4 linked regions of the Caenorhabditis elegans genome follow. The protein of the gene in region 1 purifies or fractionates together with the protein of each later gene. This does not show direct contact. Each region holds a gene or a part of one and is shown on either strand. Other genes may lie near its edges.

The links.
Region 2: the proteins of cchl-1 (region 1) and Y76B12C.4 fractionate together in Caenorhabditis elegans (co-fractionation; one large-scale study listed by BioGRID). This does not show direct contact.
Region 3: the proteins of cchl-1 (region 1) and F20D6.11 fractionate together in Caenorhabditis elegans (co-fractionation; one large-scale study listed by BioGRID). This does not show direct contact.
Region 4: the proteins of cchl-1 (region 1) and cyc-2.2 fractionate together in Caenorhabditis elegans (co-fractionation; one large-scale study listed by BioGRID). This does not show direct contact.

Annotation. Positions count from the first base shown.
Region 1 is NC_003280.10:11,234,200-11,238,302, forward strand, and holds cchl-1 (putative holocytochrome-c-type synthase), read right to left. Parts: upstream 2,189-4,103; 5' UTR 2,176-2,188; coding exon 2,149-2,175; intron 2,096-2,148; coding exon 1,910-2,095; intron 1,865-1,909; coding exon 1,716-1,864; intron 1,664-1,715; coding exon 1,538-1,663; intron 1,493-1,537; coding exon 1,138-1,492; 3' UTR 853-1,137; downstream 1-852. Other genes in the region: cox-15 (EOG090X04TT), read right to left, coding at 1-12, 366-488, 531-748; FUN14 domain-containing protein fndc-1, read right to left, coding at 2,586-2,694, 2,761-2,897, 2,950-3,120; rpn-9 (26S proteasome non-ATPase regulatory subunit 13), read right to left, coding at 3,408-3,509, 3,560-3,946, 3,996-4,103. UniProt on the Caenorhabditis elegans protein: Probable lyase that catalyzes the covalent linking of the heme group to the cytochrome C apoprotein to produce the mature functional cytochrome.
Region 2 is NC_003282.8:1,969,984-1,974,497, forward strand, and holds Y76B12C.4 (Translation initiation factor IF-2), read right to left. Parts: upstream 2,389-4,514; coding exon 1,996-2,388; intron 1,200-1,995; coding exon 923-1,199; intron 876-922; coding exon 787-875; 3' UTR 698-786; downstream 1-697. Other genes in the region: Y48A5A.3 (Ubiquinol-cytochrome-c reductase complex assembly factor 2), read left to right, coding at 1-245; Y76B12C.3 (Selenoprotein F), read left to right, coding at 3,725-3,844, 3,897-3,992, 4,080-4,143.
Region 3 is NC_003283.11:8,196,084-8,201,178, forward strand, and holds F20D6.11 (Rieske domain-containing protein), read right to left. Parts: upstream 3,012-5,095; 5' UTR 3,002-3,011; coding exon 2,895-3,001; intron 2,815-2,894; coding exon 2,595-2,814; intron 2,472-2,594; coding exon 2,232-2,471; intron 2,190-2,231; coding exon 1,971-2,189; intron 1,922-1,970; coding exon 1,490-1,921; intron 1,442-1,489; coding exon 1,333-1,441; intron 1,285-1,332; coding exon 1,107-1,284; intron 1,062-1,106; coding exon 954-1,061; intron 906-953; coding exon 869-905; 3' UTR 691-868; downstream 1-690.
Region 4 is NC_003283.11:12,610,828-12,614,218, forward strand, and holds cyc-2.2 (putative cytochrome c 2.2), read right to left. Parts: upstream 1,392-3,391; 5' UTR 1,391-1,391; coding exon 1,319-1,390; intron 1,268-1,318; coding exon 1,058-1,267; intron 1,010-1,057; coding exon 920-1,009; 3' UTR 855-919; downstream 1-854. Other genes in the region: cubn-1 (Cubilin homolog), read left to right, coding at 520-629, 680-809, 1,681-1,812, 1,856-1,965, 2,020-2,552, 2,932-3,278, 3,330-3,391. UniProt on the Caenorhabditis elegans protein: Electron carrier protein. The oxidized form of the cytochrome c heme group can accept an electron from the heme group of the cytochrome c1 subunit of cytochrome reductase.

The sequences.
Region 1 (4,103 bases):
CTTGAGGATTTGCTGAAAATTAACGTTTTTATTTTCAATTTGAATTCCAGACGATTTTCTGCCACAAAATACGGTATCCGGTCTCGACACGACAATTTTTGTTTCATGAGAAAAGGTGTGCACCTTTAAAGAGAACTGTAATTTGAAACTTTCGTTGCGACGGAATTTTTATTGATTTTTCATAGTTTGCAAATGATTTAATCAAAAAACTATTTATGAAAAATCAACGAAAATTTCACAGCACCGTAATTTTGAAATTACAGTACTCTTCAAAGACGCACGCCGTTTCTCATTTAACGAAAATTGTCGCGGTGAGACCTGGTACCGTAGTTTTGGCGCAAAATTTGGTGTCTTTTTTATCTTACTATTTATATTCTGGATAAGCTTTATATTTCTCAAATTCCTCTTCCCATTGCTTCTGTCCGAATGGCGGTTTCATCGTTCTGAACAGATCCCAGTTCACCATGCTCAGTCCTGATTCGGTTAATCTGAAATTTTATATTTAGTTGAAAAAATACATTAATAAGCACCTGGTGACTCCTCCAAGCGCCACAGCACCGTAGCACATTCCAGCACATCCCATAAGCCACCATCCGATGCGTTTTCTGGATTTGTCGTCGACATCTTTCACCGATATTCCAAAGTTTCTTCGGAATCCTTGCCTCACATTCTGGATTCCTTGGCTCAACAGAGAAACTCTTGGAAGTTGGGAGAACTTGGTCAGCTGTTTGCTGGCTAGCAGCCACATGGCTTCTAAATTTTTGGAACCTGACAACTGTCTGTTGTTGTGATATCTAAAGATCTCTAGGGTGATTATTCTTCCGCTTTTCTATAAATTTCAAACTTTCCGAATAACCAGACCATTTTTCATTGGGAGAATCGATAAGAAAAGAAGGAAAAACGGTATTTCGGTGGAACACAGTAAAGTAACGGGTAGTTGACGGAAGACACTGAAAGATCATGAGCAAACGGGGCTCCATGCGGAGAAAAAAGACAATTAACAGCAAACAATGATAACGAGGGGGAAAAAAAGAACACTAATCTATCTACGAAATATGCTAATTGCGAAACTGTTATTAGGCTTATGGAGCGGTGGGTAAATTATTGGAAATAATTTTGATGATAATGCGATACTTATTAATGGTTGACATTGTGTCCTTCAGTTGGTGGAATCGGCAGGCTCGGTGTGAATCCAAGTGTCTCGAATTTGAATCTCCAATAAGCAACAACCATTCGATCCCAGATGTTTCCAATATCATTCACGGCCGGTCGAACATCAAGAATAGTGAAAAGCTTTGAGCTTGGATCCACAGCACCACCATCGTAGTAGTCAATGACGTACTGAACTTGCTTGGTTCCGCATCTATCAACAATCCAATCGTGACGATCGAATGGGAGATCGTATCCGAGGAACAAGTTGCGGAAACGAGCTCTTGGCGATAGGTTCTTGGCATCTCCTTTGAAGCTTTTCAGTTTCGGCTCTGCGCATTCCCTGAAATTATAAATTATTCAGATGTTGGAATTTTCATGAGCTTACGGATGAAGAAGATTCTCCCATTTCAACACCTCTCTCCATGCCTCCTCGTTGTTAGCGTTATGGATGCTGATAATGTTTTCCATGTCGCTTTTGCTCAGCGAGTCATCTTGCCATCTCCATCCTTTTCTGAAATTCAAATTTAAAATCAACAATAAACATTTATCAATCAAAAACTCACTTCAGCATGGCGTTCCAGAACATTTGGGGACTTGGATAGGTCCAGGTTTCAGTTTCTGTTCCAGCTTTCGGGATTGTAGACTTCTCTCGTTTCGTTGGAAGTGCGAATGGCTGATCTGGGGCTGGCTTTTGATTTGGATGTTCGAGCTCCTGAATTTTCAAAGTTGGCTTCAGAAAACTCTATTTTGAACTCACATTGTTGAGTGGATTGATAGAAGCCTTGTCAGCACCAACCGGGCAAGCGCCACCAGCTCCACAATTCTCTCCAGATGCAGCAGCTCTCTGTTCAGGTGTTAATGGGCATTGAGATCCTCCTCCAGCAGCAGCCATGCTGTGTTGAGCCTTACGAATTCTCTCAGCATCGGCGTTGGCATCTTGCACCTGAAAATAAATTCATACGTGTTTTCTTTTAACTGAAATTATAGAAAACTCACCTTTGGCGTCGATTGTGAAGAGCCCATGATGTAATTTTATCTGAAAACTAAACTATAGTTGGGGAAATGACGGTTAAATAGGCAGGTGGCGCACGGAAATGATGAAACTAGAGAAAAAAGGCCTTAAAAATAAACTACGCGTCATACGGGCCGCGTAACTACGGAGTGTCGTTGCAAACTTACGTTTCAAAAAATTTTCAGCACAAAATCGAGTTCAAAAAGAGAAAAGTTATGGAATAAACCATAAGTTTTGCAAGAATTAAAAGATGAGAAGGTAAGGGTGTATAATTTATCAGTCAATGTGAAGAAAAAAATAGACAGCATGACTAGACAATGGAGAGTGAGAAAAAGTTATTTATGCATCATATCGAGCAACTCGATTATAAATAGTACAGATCGTAGATAAAAACCAACTGAAGCTTCACAATTTTCCACATTTAGGCGACGCTAAATCCAATCAGCATCCCAGCTGCGAATCCGCCAAGAATCCACCGGTATTCGGAGACAAATGAATCGGAAATGTTGATAACTTTCTTGCCGGATACTCTGAAAAATTGAATAATATACGATTTTCGTTTTATTCTATTTTTTTTTCGTAAAATTCAAGCTTACTTGTTCATGACGGACTTGTGTAGATTTTTCATGTCTCGTTCGATTTTTGATTCGTTCAGCGTGATGTATCCTTTGTGAATAGCGAATTGAGCCAACAGGAAAGAGATTCCCACTGTGGCAGCAACAAGACGTCCTCCCTGAAAATATTTAAAAATTAAATATTTCTCTAGAACCACCAATTTTAAATACCTTGGTGACAAAATATCCAGTCACTGTCCCGAATCCAGCACCAACACCCAGCTGGACCATCGGCTGCTGCTTTTTCAGATCAACAACGTAGTAGAGGACTGTATCGATGGCATCACTCACACCTTTTCCGGCTTTTCCACTGCCTCCGTCGTTTTTTGAAAGATCAACCATGGCTGGAACAATCACAGTACTACATTACTCGAAGACGAAGAGAACCCGAATGTTAAGTATTGAAAAGTACTAGTGAACTATTGACACGGTGTTAGTCACATCTGACATCGAGAAAATTCAATATATTCACAGTCGATTAATTTATGAATTCAAATAAATACACACAGAAAGAAGACTGAACGATCTTGAAATTGTAGAATACACGTAGCAGTGTAATTATAAAAATAGAGGATTCCGGGATTGGGATGGGGGAGCATGGAGAAAATAAATTAAAGAAATGAGATGATTTAATTTTGAGTGAGAATCTCGCGTGCCTCTTTGCTGACGATTCCTTCCATGGAGTTGACATCGTTCCTCCATGCGGAAATGCGAGTCGCCATTTGCATTATCTGAAAAAAAGAAAATAAGTATTTTAAAAACTTATAATCAATTCTTATACCTGAGGATTATCTAAAACTCTTGGCTGCACCCATGTCACGTAGACAACTTGCTCAACTTGATTGATATCTCCACGAATGAGATCCTTGCTCAACGCCTTCATCACCAAGAACTCAACTTCGTCGAATGGGATCTGGCACTTCGTGGCGATTTCTTTGAATGAAACGCTTCTGGCTTTGGTTGGACGAGAGACTGCAAGTTCCATGACAGCCATCAGACGGATTTTGGCAGTCAGGAAATCCTTTTGCTTCTTCAAATCGTCCCAGCCTCCCCAATCTCCTTCGAGCGAGAAGAAGCGCGTCAAATCTCCCGAATTGAAGGCAAGAAGCACGTCCACGATCCAGCGTTCACGAGTTCCTTCGAGCGATTTGAGGATGGGGTGAGCAAGCTGAAAAAACCGTTTATTGGGGGAATTTAAATTGAGAGTTTCAACAAACCAATTCTCCGAAGTTGTGCACGTTTTCTCCCAGAAGAGCAGCGAAACCGAGAAGAACCGCATGGACTTGCTTCTGTTCTGTTGTCAGATTATTGGCGTCCTCAACTCC
Region 2 (4,514 bases), on another chromosome or scaffold:
AATTCCAGCCGGGAGTCGTCGCCTCTCAAGCGATTTGCGAGAAACGTCTTCAGGCGCTCGAGCAGCTGCTCAACAACGAAGTGCTCAAAAAACACCCGAATTCGTACTCCTCCGGCGTATTTGGAATGCGATTAGCCGATCTACAGGCGGCCTCGAGTGAAGAAAGCCGAAAACAGATGGGTCTACAGCCGAAAGTATCGATTTTCAAGCGATTATATCGATCCGTCGTGCCCGAGAAGAAATAATCGATTTTTATTGGATTTTTTTAGCTTTTTGAACGATAAAATTGCTTTATTTTCTGATTTCCCGTATTTTTCGATCGAAAACTTAAAAAAAAAATGTAAAAAACAGTCCGCTAAACAGGGCGCGCAAGCGGAATATCGGAGTGTCGTTTGTGTTTTGAATTTTAAAAATTTAAATTTTTGTTTAGAATTAATTTTTTTTGATTGAAATTTCGGTTTTTCCGCGGTTTCATCAGTTTTGTAGTGAAAAAACATTAAAAATAGCGGTTATTCATTAAAAAAAATCTAAAAATGATCGGCTGTTTCGATGATTTTTACGAATTACGCGCGTGAAATTTTAATTTTGTAGCGAAATTTGAAACTTTTCCAACCGAATCGCTTATTTTTAAGCGTTTTTTTTGTTAACTGTTCGCTATAAAAAATAAAAAATTCGACAGAATATCGGAACATCGTTTTTTTCCGAAATTTTTATTTTTAAAGCCAAATAGTTTATGAAAAATCAATAAATCAAAGCGAATTATTCATTTTAATAAAGGGAAAAAGTTCACAAAATCGTGCAGCACACCTTCTTCTTCGCCCGTATATCTTTAGGCTTTCGCTTTGTCGGCGGCGGAGGGGGGGCCGGTGGTCTCACTGAAAAATCAATAATTGATTTTTATTCTGAAAAATCGATAATTTACCCTTTTTCTTGGCGCTGCCGGAGGTGCCGGTGGCCACGGCAGCCTCCTTTTTCGTCTTTTTCATCGAACTTTTCTCCTTTTCCGTGCTGGGAGTCGTCGAGTTCTTCGTTTCCGTCGATTTATCGATTTTCTCCGTTTTCAATCGCTCTCGATCCCTCAGCTTTTTCTCCTTTTTCAACGCTTTCTTAATTTTCAAAATTTCCTCCTTCGATAGGTCCCCTTCGTCTTCGTCCTTTGATTTTTGCTTCTTTTCCATCGTTTCCTTCTCCCTTGGCGCCTGGAAAAAGGAGTAGTGAGTGAAATTTTATCGATTTTCTGTAGCAATTTTCAATATCGATCCACAACGATACATTTTCTTGTGAAAAATTACGCAAAATTATCGATTTTTCTACGAAAAAAAAATCGATAAATCCAAAAAATCTACGGGAAATATCCTTAAATCCTTTTTCACGGCCATTCGTCGATACACACGTGGTGCCACGTTTGATCTACCAAAAATGCGGAAATTTTTTGCCCAAATTATGTGACGAACTCCAGTCGGGACATGTAGCTGTGGAGATGATGAGGGTGGCCTAGATCACACTACCTAACCTGCAGTAGATCGAAGCCGATCCTGAAAGAAAATCTGTGGACGTCCCCCAAAGAAGCCGCCCGTGCCCTCGGGCTGGCCTATAAACCCTTCGATCCGGGCGGTGGAGCACATACGGCGGGCGTCTAGAACGGCGCTAGCGCCGCGTTGTTGCACAACAACAACAACAAAGTTGAGAACTCTGCGTCTCTTCTCCCGCTTTTTTTGTAGATATACGTAGATCAAGCCGAAATGATACACTCTGACGCCACGTGCACTGAGAGAAAAAATCCGAACAGCTCACGTGGTGTCGAGCTGACCGCGTGATCTACAAAAAATGCGGGAAGCGAGCCGCAAGGTTTCCCTCTGACGTCACACTTTTCTGGGCGAAATTTCCCGGATTTATTGTAGATCGAGCGGTGATGGGACAACCTTACACCATGTGGCAGCTTTGCAATTATCGATTTTCATTTGATTTTTCCATATAAAAATCAATAAATCAGACCTCTTCGAGTTCATCCTTCGTCTTAGTCTTCTCTCTTTCCTTCTCTTTTTCCTTCTCCTCAGTGACTTCCTTCGGTGGTTTTTCCTCCTTTTCCTCTTCCTTTTCTGCCTCTTTTTCCTCCTTATCCGCCTCGTTTTTCTCATGGGTTTTCTCTTTTTCCTTCTCTTTTTCCTTCTCCTTTTCCGCCGCCTCTTTCTCCGATTCCTTTTCCTCAAATTCGTCGATCAACTTGGGCCCTTCACGTGGCTTAGAGGGCACTTTTTTCGCCCGTTTTTTCTTTTCCGGAGCCCAGTCATCAATCTCACTCAGTCCGTCTGTCATATCATATCCAGGCTTTAGAATTACTTTACCCGATTTCGTGCACTGTGGTTGCTCGGCGCGGTGTGCTTCCATTTTTGAATCTGGAAATTTATGGCTCAGAATTGTTGTGGAGGCCCGTAGAATTGCTATGGGAGCACATTTTGCTGATTTTTAGGCTTAGGCTTATGCGTGGCCTTAGGCTTAGACATAGATTCATGCTTAGGCTTAGCCTCGAGCTTTTGCTTATGGTTAGGCAGGCTTAACTTTAGGCTTAGGCTTAGGTACAGGCTTAGGCTTAGATTCTGGCTTAGGCTTCGACTTTGGCTTAGGATTAGGCTTTAGACTTTAGGCTTAGGCTTTATGCTTAGGCTTAGGTTCAGGCCTAAGGTTAGGCTGAGGGGGGGGGGGCTTAGACCTAGACTTATCGGTGTCTGGGGAGAAAAAAAATTAAATCAAGAAATTTCAAGATATCAAAACTTTCTCTCAGCTATAAAAAACTTTAAAATTCTGCGAAAAAGGCTTTTGATGAGAATTTTCGGCAAATTCCCGGAAACATACGCTGGCCGAGTTTTCGCTTTTCCTAGGCCACCTAGAAAAGAAGCAAAAAAGTTACCTTTATGTGAATCGGTTTTGACTTTTCCAAGAAATCAGATTTTATCCTCGCCGTCTTTCCGCTAGCCGAGAAGAAAATAACAATAAATTTATTTTCTCACAGGTTGTCGGTTTTTTTTTTTTGAAAAATTTGAATTCTAAGTTCAATTCGAAGTTCAAAATGGCAATTTCACGGAATAATTATTCAATTTTTGTTGAAAATTAATTTTCTAGATTTAAATTAAAACATGCATTCAATTTGTCCTCTCTGAAGTTGTTCGGTTTTTGCGCCAGAAATACGGTACCAGGTCTCGACACGACAAATTTTTGTTAAATGGAAAACATGTGTGTGCGCCTTTAAAGAGTACTGTAATTTGTTGTCAAATACATTTTTATCGAAAAACTATTAAAAATCGATTAAAACCCCGAATATTTAAAATGACAGTACTCTTTAAAGGCGCACACCTTTTAGAATGAAAAAAAATCCTGTCGAGTCGAGACCCAGTACCGTATTTTCATCGCAGAAATCGAAAAATCGATAGTTTCCGACATTTTCGTGCTTTTTACCCAATTTTCCCCCCGAAAAATATGGATTTTTAGCTATATAAACTTGTACTTTTCCCCTATTTTCCCTCCCGTGAATGGGTTCCCTCCAAACTTTGCCCAAAACTGTCGTCAAATATGGTGTGGCGGTACCCGGCGGTGTTTGCACTGCTGACGTCGATTTGAGCCAATTTTGGAGCATTTTCCACGTATTTTAATGGGGATTTTCACTCATTTTTCATGGATTTTTTGCTATTCCAAAACAAAACAAAAAAAAATAAAAATTTCCAGCAAAATGTGGGTGATTTTCCTGCTGCTGGCCGCCGTGGTTTCGCCTATGTTCGGTGAAGTTGAAGAGTATAAAATTGATGTAGAGGAGTGCAAGGCGGCGGGATTCAATCCGGAGACTTTAAAGGTTTTTCTCCTGAAAATCTTGGCAAAAATCTGAAATTTTCGTAAATTTTCAGTGCGGATTATGCGAACGACTATCGGATTATCATCTGGAAACGCTGCTCACCGATTGTCTTCAGTGTTGTATTAAGGAAGAAGAGTTTAAGCACGAAGTACGCTTTAAAATTGGGATTTTTTTGTGAAAAAATCGATTTTTCCCGCTAGAAATCACCCAAAAATCGATTTTTTTTAAATTTCAGAAATATCCAACGGCAATTCTGGAAGTCTGCGAGTGCAATTTGGCTCGATTCCCACAAGTTCAAGGTGAAAATTGATTGGAAAAAGAGAATATGGCCCGAAAAATACCTCAAAAGCGAAAAAAACTAGCTTTTCACACTAACTGTCGATGATTTACGCGGCTCGTGTACTCCCCGAGGAGAAGATTTTGTAGTTTTTGGCAGAAATTCTTGATTTTGAGCCATTTTTGTTAAAATGTTTCGTTTTCAACGTTAAAAATGCTAATTTATCCTTATTTTTAGTATTTGAACATTAAAAAATGCCCGAAATAAGGGATATTTTGCCAAAAAAACCATAAAATCCTACTACTCGCGGAGTACACACGCTGCGTAAATCTACACGGGGCTGTGCTAGAGCTCATTTTTCTGAAAATCGAAAAATTCTGTTTCCCTATTTTT
Region 3 (5,095 bases), on another chromosome or scaffold:
CGTTGTCTATACTCTCTCACAATCAAACACTCTCTAATATCTCACGGACCCGATGACAAAGAGGAGGACTCGTCGACACATGTGACAAACGGTGGCGGTATATCCAGTGGAGTGAAATGTAGGTGATAGACCAAGAGTGAGAGAGATGAAAAAGAAAGAAGGTGAAGAAGGTACGAGTTGGATGATATCAAGACACAGAACGACAAGTTTATCTCTATTAGCAAGGGTCTCCGGATGAGCAAAGAGTTAGTGATAAACGGAAGAGTGAGTGCCTCTCGTCGCAATCAAAACCAATGTTTTATCACCACCGGGCCAAGAAATGAAGAAGTGAAATGAGAGAATAAGCCGGGTAAGAAGGTTGGTATCCGGGTTGAGTCAAATGCAAGTCAAATGAGTGGATTAAGTTACAAGTCTTATCACAGTTTGCTGTCTGGGATTTGAGACGTGACACTGCTCATGATTTGTGAGTTTTGGCATTTTCACAAATCAAACTAAAGAGTTGTAGTGTAGTTATTTATTGCATGTGAAAATTACACTCGTTTTATGAACTTCCTTGTTGAAAACGTTCATTTTATGGTTACTGAAGATCAGTCTCTACAGAAGAGCATCTCAATTGAGTTTATACATTTTCAGAGTTTTGACTGGTTCTGTGGTTTTTTGTGAAACAATCAGGTGCATTGTTATATTTCTAATATTTCTCAGTTTTTATTAAAGGAAGAGCCAATGGTTTTTTTTTTCAGAAATCGGATTTTTGGGAACAGCGAATACATATAAATCAGTTTTTAGTTCATTCCATAAAAAACACAAAAAAAATTTTTTTTAATCAAACAAATAGTTTATTTATTTACTGCTGAATTCCTACACTCGTCTATAGCAGAAGATGTCCCCAAGTGTGATCGCTGCTGCTGCAAGTTTATTTGGGTAATTGCATTAATGTTTAAATTAAAACTAACTTTTTCAAATCCTTCAGAGTGACTTCGATTCCTTTTTTGAAAATTTCAGCGAACTGGGAGGCAACACTGGATGGACCACCAGCAGCTACAGCTACGACTTTGTCTTTTCTTAAAGTTTTTACTAACATGAAAAATGTATAATTGTTCACTTACTTCAAGAAGTATCGAATGAAAGTTCCAGTTTCAGGATCTCCATTAGTGTATTCCTTTGTGGATCCTTGATTGCATCCTGAGAACTTCAAACCAAACGCAAAGAAAAACAGAGTCCAAAAGTATGGAACAATAGGTCCAGGTTGAGGTTTTCCAACAATAGTGTATCCAAGATGTTGTCCTAAAATATTAAACATCGATAGTTAAATTTGAATATCTTCTGGTTTACCATGTGCTTGAGCAGTTTGGAAGTGTTGAATATTGATACTGTCAATATCCCAAAGTGGGAGAGGAGCTGTGACAACATCACCCATTGCGAAGATGTAGCTGATATTAGTCTGAAGTATTAGAGATTAAAAAAGCATCATAAAATAAACTAAACCCACTCTAAACTTTTCATCAACTTCAATGAATCCTCTATTGTCCAATTTGATACCAGATCCTTCCAAAAACTTAGTGGCTGGGGTAACACCAATTCCACAAACAAGAAGATCTACATCAAGCTCTTTTCCATTCTCTAAAATAACTTTTGAGACTTCTCCTTGATCGTTTCCACGAAGAGCAACCACATTTGCAGCCAGCTCGAACTTTACTCCTTTTTCTTCAAACTTCAGACGGATTCCTTTACCAATATCTGATCCAAAAACTGGAAGAGGCTCCGGAGTATTGGAAATAACTGTAACTGACGCAGCTTTTTCTGCCAGAGCGGATGCCACTTCCATTCCGATAAATGATGAGCCTACACAGACGACGTGCTTCCCAGGATGAAGGTTGGAAATTATGTTGGCTTCTTCTACTTTACGAAGGTAGCAAATATTCTGGAAATTGCACATGTTTATATTTTTCAGATTTTCGTTTTACTCTCACTTTCAAATCTGATCCGGGTACTTGCAACTTTCTAACATTTCCTCCAGTAGCAATAATTAGTTTTGAATAAACAACAGTTTCTCCGTTCGATAAACTGACTTCTCTACTTTTATGATTTACTGCAATCACCGATGTTTTCAAAAGAAATTTGACATTTCTCTCTTCGTAAAACGCATCATCTTTTCTCAAACGAATATCCTCTCCGGTTGCTGCTGGTTTCTGAAAATCATAGGTAATTTAGAAAAAAAGATTTAACATTACCTTAGACAGCAAGACTCTATCATAAGGCGGCAAAGACTCTTCTGAGATTACTAAAATTGGGGTTATAAGACCATTAAGTCGAGAATGCTCAATGAATGTAGCTGTAGCTACACCACCACCGATAATCACAACTGGTCGATCATTACACTGCTTCATTTTTGGAAGATGTCGAATTCGACGATCAGAACCTAGCTTCTTTTCAGTTGTCTTGATAATAAGGTTTCCATCGTTGACAGTAACCTGGAAAAATATAATTGTTTGATTACAAAAAAAGGACAACAAAGTTTAATCAGTCACCTCCAACTTTTCAAAAAAGAATTTGTCCAAAAATGCGAAAACAATAAATTTTTGGGTGCCACTTACCACATAAGAATGAAGACTGTCAAAGCCTGGATAGTCTTCAATATCTCCCGATCGAACATTAAAGCAAGCTCCATGAAGTGGGCACCTAATTCTTCCTTTTGCATATGTTCCATTCTCCAATGAGAAATTGTAATGAGAACACAATCCATTAATAGCGTAAATTCGACCCTCGTCGTTAATCACCAAAACTTTACGATCACGAACTTCGAACATTTTCTTACTGGAAAAAGACAATGTTATTTTTTAAATTTTCTTTTTAAAACTTTAGAGAACTGTTTTTAAAAAGTTGAAATTACTTACGTTCCTGGCGGTACATCTTCGATTCTACCGAGAATTTCCTCCACTGCCGGAGAATCATCATTGTCACATTCCGGCTCAACAGGGGTTAGCCAATTGGCGAGAGCCATTGTTATTATACTGGAATATTAAAGAAATGTACGTGTAAATTCGTTTTTTTTTCAGAAAATCAAGGAAAAGAATGATAAATAAACGTAGTCATCAGTCATCAATTTTTGTTATCAATAAGAGTCTATAGATGAAAGTTTAATTGAAAAAACGTACAGTTTTCAAACTTTGTCCTAGAGGTTTCGGGCAAATTCTTCGTACAAAAAATAACAAAAATATAAAAATGGGGCTACAGAGACCAATTGGAGCACTTTGAGTTGTAGGAACAAGAAAAAGGAAAAGAGAAGCACACGAAAGGCTGGGTCTATTTGCTAGGCGGCAAATGGAAATGCTGACAAATGCCTGACACTGGCATGTATCTAGGATAGTTGACCACAGAGAAAAAGAAACTTTGTGATCGTTACAATTTTTAGTTCACACCTTGTATACTTATTAAACTAGGGTAAAAGAAAGTCAAGGTGAAAGCCAAAAAATGCTTTTAAGTCTTGAAATACCAGAGCTTCAAAGAGAAAAATCAACGAAGATGTGGGAAAACAACAACATATTTCAAAACATCCACGTTATCAGTTTTTGGTAAACAATATTTGTTTGCGTGGAAGGTTTTTGTAAACGAAGCGTTATTTTCTGAATTATTTTTTTTTTCTGATTAATCGTAATGGTTAGAAATGTTTTCGAATTTTTTATTTGAAACTATGTTTCTGTACTTACGGAAAATTTTCCAAAACGTTTAATTTTCAGTATGTCCAATTTATACATCAAAGACTCTAAACTTTAGATTTAAATCTTATTGAAATTAGTAAATTTTGAATGAAAATCTCGACAATAAACCACTAGAAGATCATCAAGGTTAAACGAAGTAAACAAGAAAAACTGGAGAAGAAAAAACGTCGAAACGATCAGTTGAAGGAAACATGATCCTTCATATTGGAACGAAACGCTCAAAAATCAAAATTTGTCGTTTGAAAGTTTAACCTTTAAGTTTGAAAATGATACGTCTTAATTGTTTTTTTTAAAAATCGGTATCACTAGCTTTAAAAAAAAGTGCAAAAACGTTAAAATGGAAAATCCCTTTTCTTGAAAACCGAGAGATGAAGAGAACCGAGACATACAAACAAAACTCTCCGTAGAACGGCCTATGGTGACACTCACAAACAACAACATAATTGGGAGAATTGAGAGAAATAGTGGGAAAATGCGGAAATTTAGGAAAAAGAGGTTCAATGAACATATTTATAGAGACAATTGTTTTTGGACGGGAAAATGTGAACTTATGGGCTATGAAAATTTTTATAAAAGTACGATTACTTCCTTGCCGGAATTTCAATTTCAAATAATCAAAGCTGATAATTTAGTTCAAAATAATATTCCACAATAATCATATAATGTTTAATTTTCAGTAGTTTCATTCGGGATAGTTGTAAAGAACAATTTTGTGAACGATAATTGCAAAAAAATCGTCTTTTATCCAAAAATCTCATGGCAAACAAAATTATATTTCAAGCTTGTTTTCAAGCTTTAGAATCACATTTTTCAAGCTTTAGAATCAAAGAATCAGAAATCATAAGAATTTCATTTTAAGCTTTGATTACCACATAAATCATTTGGTATGGATGAATGATGCTTTTCGTTTTTTGGTTTTGTGACCATATTTTATGAGTCCACCGGAATTTTATAAAAGCTCGGGTCTCTGAAAAAACTGCTATAAGCCAAGCTGAACATTCGCTTGAAACAAGCGTGAAATGAAGTATACTGTCAGTTTGTTCAATTATTAGCACGGCAGTTGGCTATTGTCATTGAAAGTGAATGTTTGAGTGAGTCTCTACGGATTGAAACTTTTTTTTTTGAAGTTTGATGAATGGTTTGTGAAACAATATTTTTGTGTCTCGTTTTTTATTTTATAAAGTCAAATATTCCAAAAGTCCAATAGTGAATCACAAACTTTGGTTTATGTTTTGCAGCATTGTGAAGAAGTTGTTATTAGTCTCGATGCCATGATGAAGCTACAATAGTCTTGGGTTATAATAGGTGAACATTAAATTTGCCTGGGATGCTATAACAGAAATTTATGCAGGCCAAGGAGTTTCCGTGCCTTCGCA
Region 4 (3,391 bases), on another chromosome or scaffold:
AAAAAAAAAACAATAAATGATTCGAAATTTATGCGAAATGTTGTGTAAGAAAATATTTTTGAAAAAGCAGATTAATACCTGAAAATATTTCCAATTAAAGCAGTGGAATTGTCTTCGTGCCTACCTCGTGCCTGCCTACATCTCAACTGCTGGCTTATTTGTTTACCACATGCCAGACCAATCAGTTTGCACGAAATATTATTTTTGAACTATTAATAAGATACATTTGTTATATCTGTACAGCCTGACACTTTTTTAGAGCGATTATTTGGAGAGTATTCAACACCATCATATTTTGATACCTGAGTTTCAGCCAGCTTAACAGTTTTTTCATTAAAACCGAACACAAATTCAACGGCCCACTAGTTACTCATAACCTAAACATTGGCAGGTGTTCTCTTACATAATCTGTTATAAACAAATGGATCGTCTCAATTTCCAATCAGGTATCAATGACATAAACAAATTATTCACCCTCCACCGTGCAACTCCATTAATTTCATTTCATTTTCGCAACAAATGATACCTAACTTACAGTTATTTCTTTCATTAATACTATTCGGCTTATTAAATCATGTATCTTCAATTGACTATGAAGAAATACACATCGAAGATTCATATGAAACAAGGTAACGAATCCTTTAATTTTTTTTCAAAATTACGTCCGAAAACATTTCAGATCACGTATTCTAATGGTTGATGGAAATGTGTGGTTGCATGCCGGAAAGGATAAAAATATAACGTTCAAAACGACTGGAAATGGAAGAATATATGTGGACGAAACAGATGTTTCCAAACTTCCAGATATTGTAGGTAGACTGCTGAAATTATCCAAAAAAAAAATGAACGAGCTTCTACAAAACATTTATTTTTGATACGTTGCTTTGCTTAACACACAGATTTCTTATTTAGTAGAGGCTTATGCCGATGGTTTCTTGGCAGCTTCCACTTCAATAAATTTGATGAGATCAGCTCGTTCGTCAGCTTTCTTCAAACCAGCGAAGACCATCTGAAAATTTCTTATTAATACTCCATCGCACTTCCTAGAAAATCCTACCTTAGTTCCGGGGATGTACTTTTTCGGATCAGCCAAATAGTCGAAAAGTGTTTGTCTGTCCCATACAACTCCTTTATTCTTGTTGGCAGCCGAGTAGTCAAATCCAGCAACTTGTCCGGATTGTCTTCCAATCACTCCGTTCAATGTTGGTCCAGTCTTTGTTTGCAATGAGTTGACAACGTGACATTGCTCGCAACGTTGTTTGAAGATCTGAAAATCAATAGGTTTTCTGGGAACACTATAATGAAAAATTTAACTAACCTTCTTTCCTTTCTCATTGTCTCCTTCTGGAATAGCTCCACCGGATGCCGTATCAGACTTCTTCTTGCCCATGTTTCAAGAACTGATTAAAACATAGACGGTCAGATTAGAAAAAGGAACGAAACGTGGATTACGAGTAAGAGTTGGAATTAGATAGTCGGAGATCACGCAAAAATTTACTTTTTGACAACTATTTAAAAAGAATCACTTTCCTGAGAAACGGTCACGTAAATTTTGATAATTAAGTTCTATTATTTTTATAAAACTTTTCAAAATGAATAATTGTTTGAAAATGTTTGAACTATGGAAGTTTTTGAAAATTAACTCGAATTACAATTTTCAATATTCAAAATAATTTTCAGGCATCTTTCAAGCAACTTGTTGGACGTATTGAGAACACTTCTCAAATGTTCACCACTTTGAAAAGTCGCCAGGACACGCAGACTTCTGCAATGAGAGTGGTTTTAAATTCTGCAAAACATTATCTAGTAGCGGTAATTCCATACATTTTTTTCTCTTTTTGAAATCAATTTTTAGCTTCGAAATATGACACTCGAAGTGAATATCTTGAAGAAGTGGAAAACTGATAAAATGGCCAGAGACATGAGGAGACGGGGATTATTGGTGAAAATGACACGTCAAATCATGTAAGACACAACAAGTTAGGTTTGACTATTTTTTATAAATTGTTAACTTTCAAGAGGAATCAACAAATTGATAGCAATAAACGCGTGCGATCCGAACAAATGTAGTAATGGAGGCACATGTATCCCATCTTTTGGCGCCAAATTCACTTGTCTTTGTCCTCCACATTTCACCGGTACAACTTGTGAAGCTGACATCGATGAATGCTCAGTATACAATGGTACAACTGCTGGATGTCAGAACAATGGAACATGTATCAATAACCGTGGCGGATTTGAATGTCAGTGCCAATCCGGATATCATGGATCTCTTTGTCAGTATCATATGTCCGCTTGCTCGAAAACTTTTGAATTGTGTGGTCCACATGGGCATTGTATTGAGAGTATTGTGGATCCAACTGGTCAGTCATCTTCCGATACAACTACGTACAAGTGTATTTGTGATTGGGGTTTCAAGGTTTCAAGTGATAAGAACAATCCAACGTGTGTTGATGTCAATGAATGCGAATCAAATCCATGTCATCCAGGAGTTGATTGTATTAATTTGCCTGGATCGTTTGTGTGTTCCGGATGTCCAAAAGGATATAAAAGTAAGTTAGAATTATATATGTTCAATCAAATCAAAAATAAAATAATTTTTTTGGTTTAATTCTTGTCTAGAAAATATATACTCGTATCCAAAACGTTTTCATAAAATAGGTAAGTAGGCATTTAAATAGGTCAATAGGTGTGTGGTAGGCATGAGGTAGACACGTACGCCTGAACAAGTGCCTACCCTGTATAACACTTACAAATTTCAAGCTTTTTTTGTGAAAATACTTGTTTGGATTTCTCAGTTCCGAGAATGAGGAGAGAAAGTCTTATAAACTTCGGCTTAACAATGTGAAAAATCAGAATTTGTTAGTTTGAAGGTGTCGAAAAATGTACTGAATATCTGTCATTGAAATCCAAAAAGTAAAATAAATTCAGCCGATGGAAATGTTTGTATTGATGTCAACGAATGTGAAGGTGAAATTCGTGTATGCTCTCCGCTTTCAAAATGTCATAACACTCTTGGCAGTTATTATTGTGATTCGTGTCCGACTGGATACTCCGGCGATGGAGGAAATTGTGTGAAAGATGATAGTTGTGTCAAAAACAAATGCCATAAATTAGCAACATGCAAGGTAACTGACGACGGATACAGTGCTGTTGGAGACTACACTTGCTACTGTCCAGATGGATATGTTGGTGACGGAATTGGAGAGGAAGGATGTGTTAAGTCAGCAAGTAACGTTTGCCAGAACCACAATTGTGTTAATGCTGGGAAATGCAAGGTAACACAAATGAAGACAAGTAAGCACTGTTACTCAAAAAATAGTTTTCAGCCAACAAGCGACACCGAATATAAATGTGAATGTGAAGCTGGTTTTCTTGGAAAGTTCTGTGA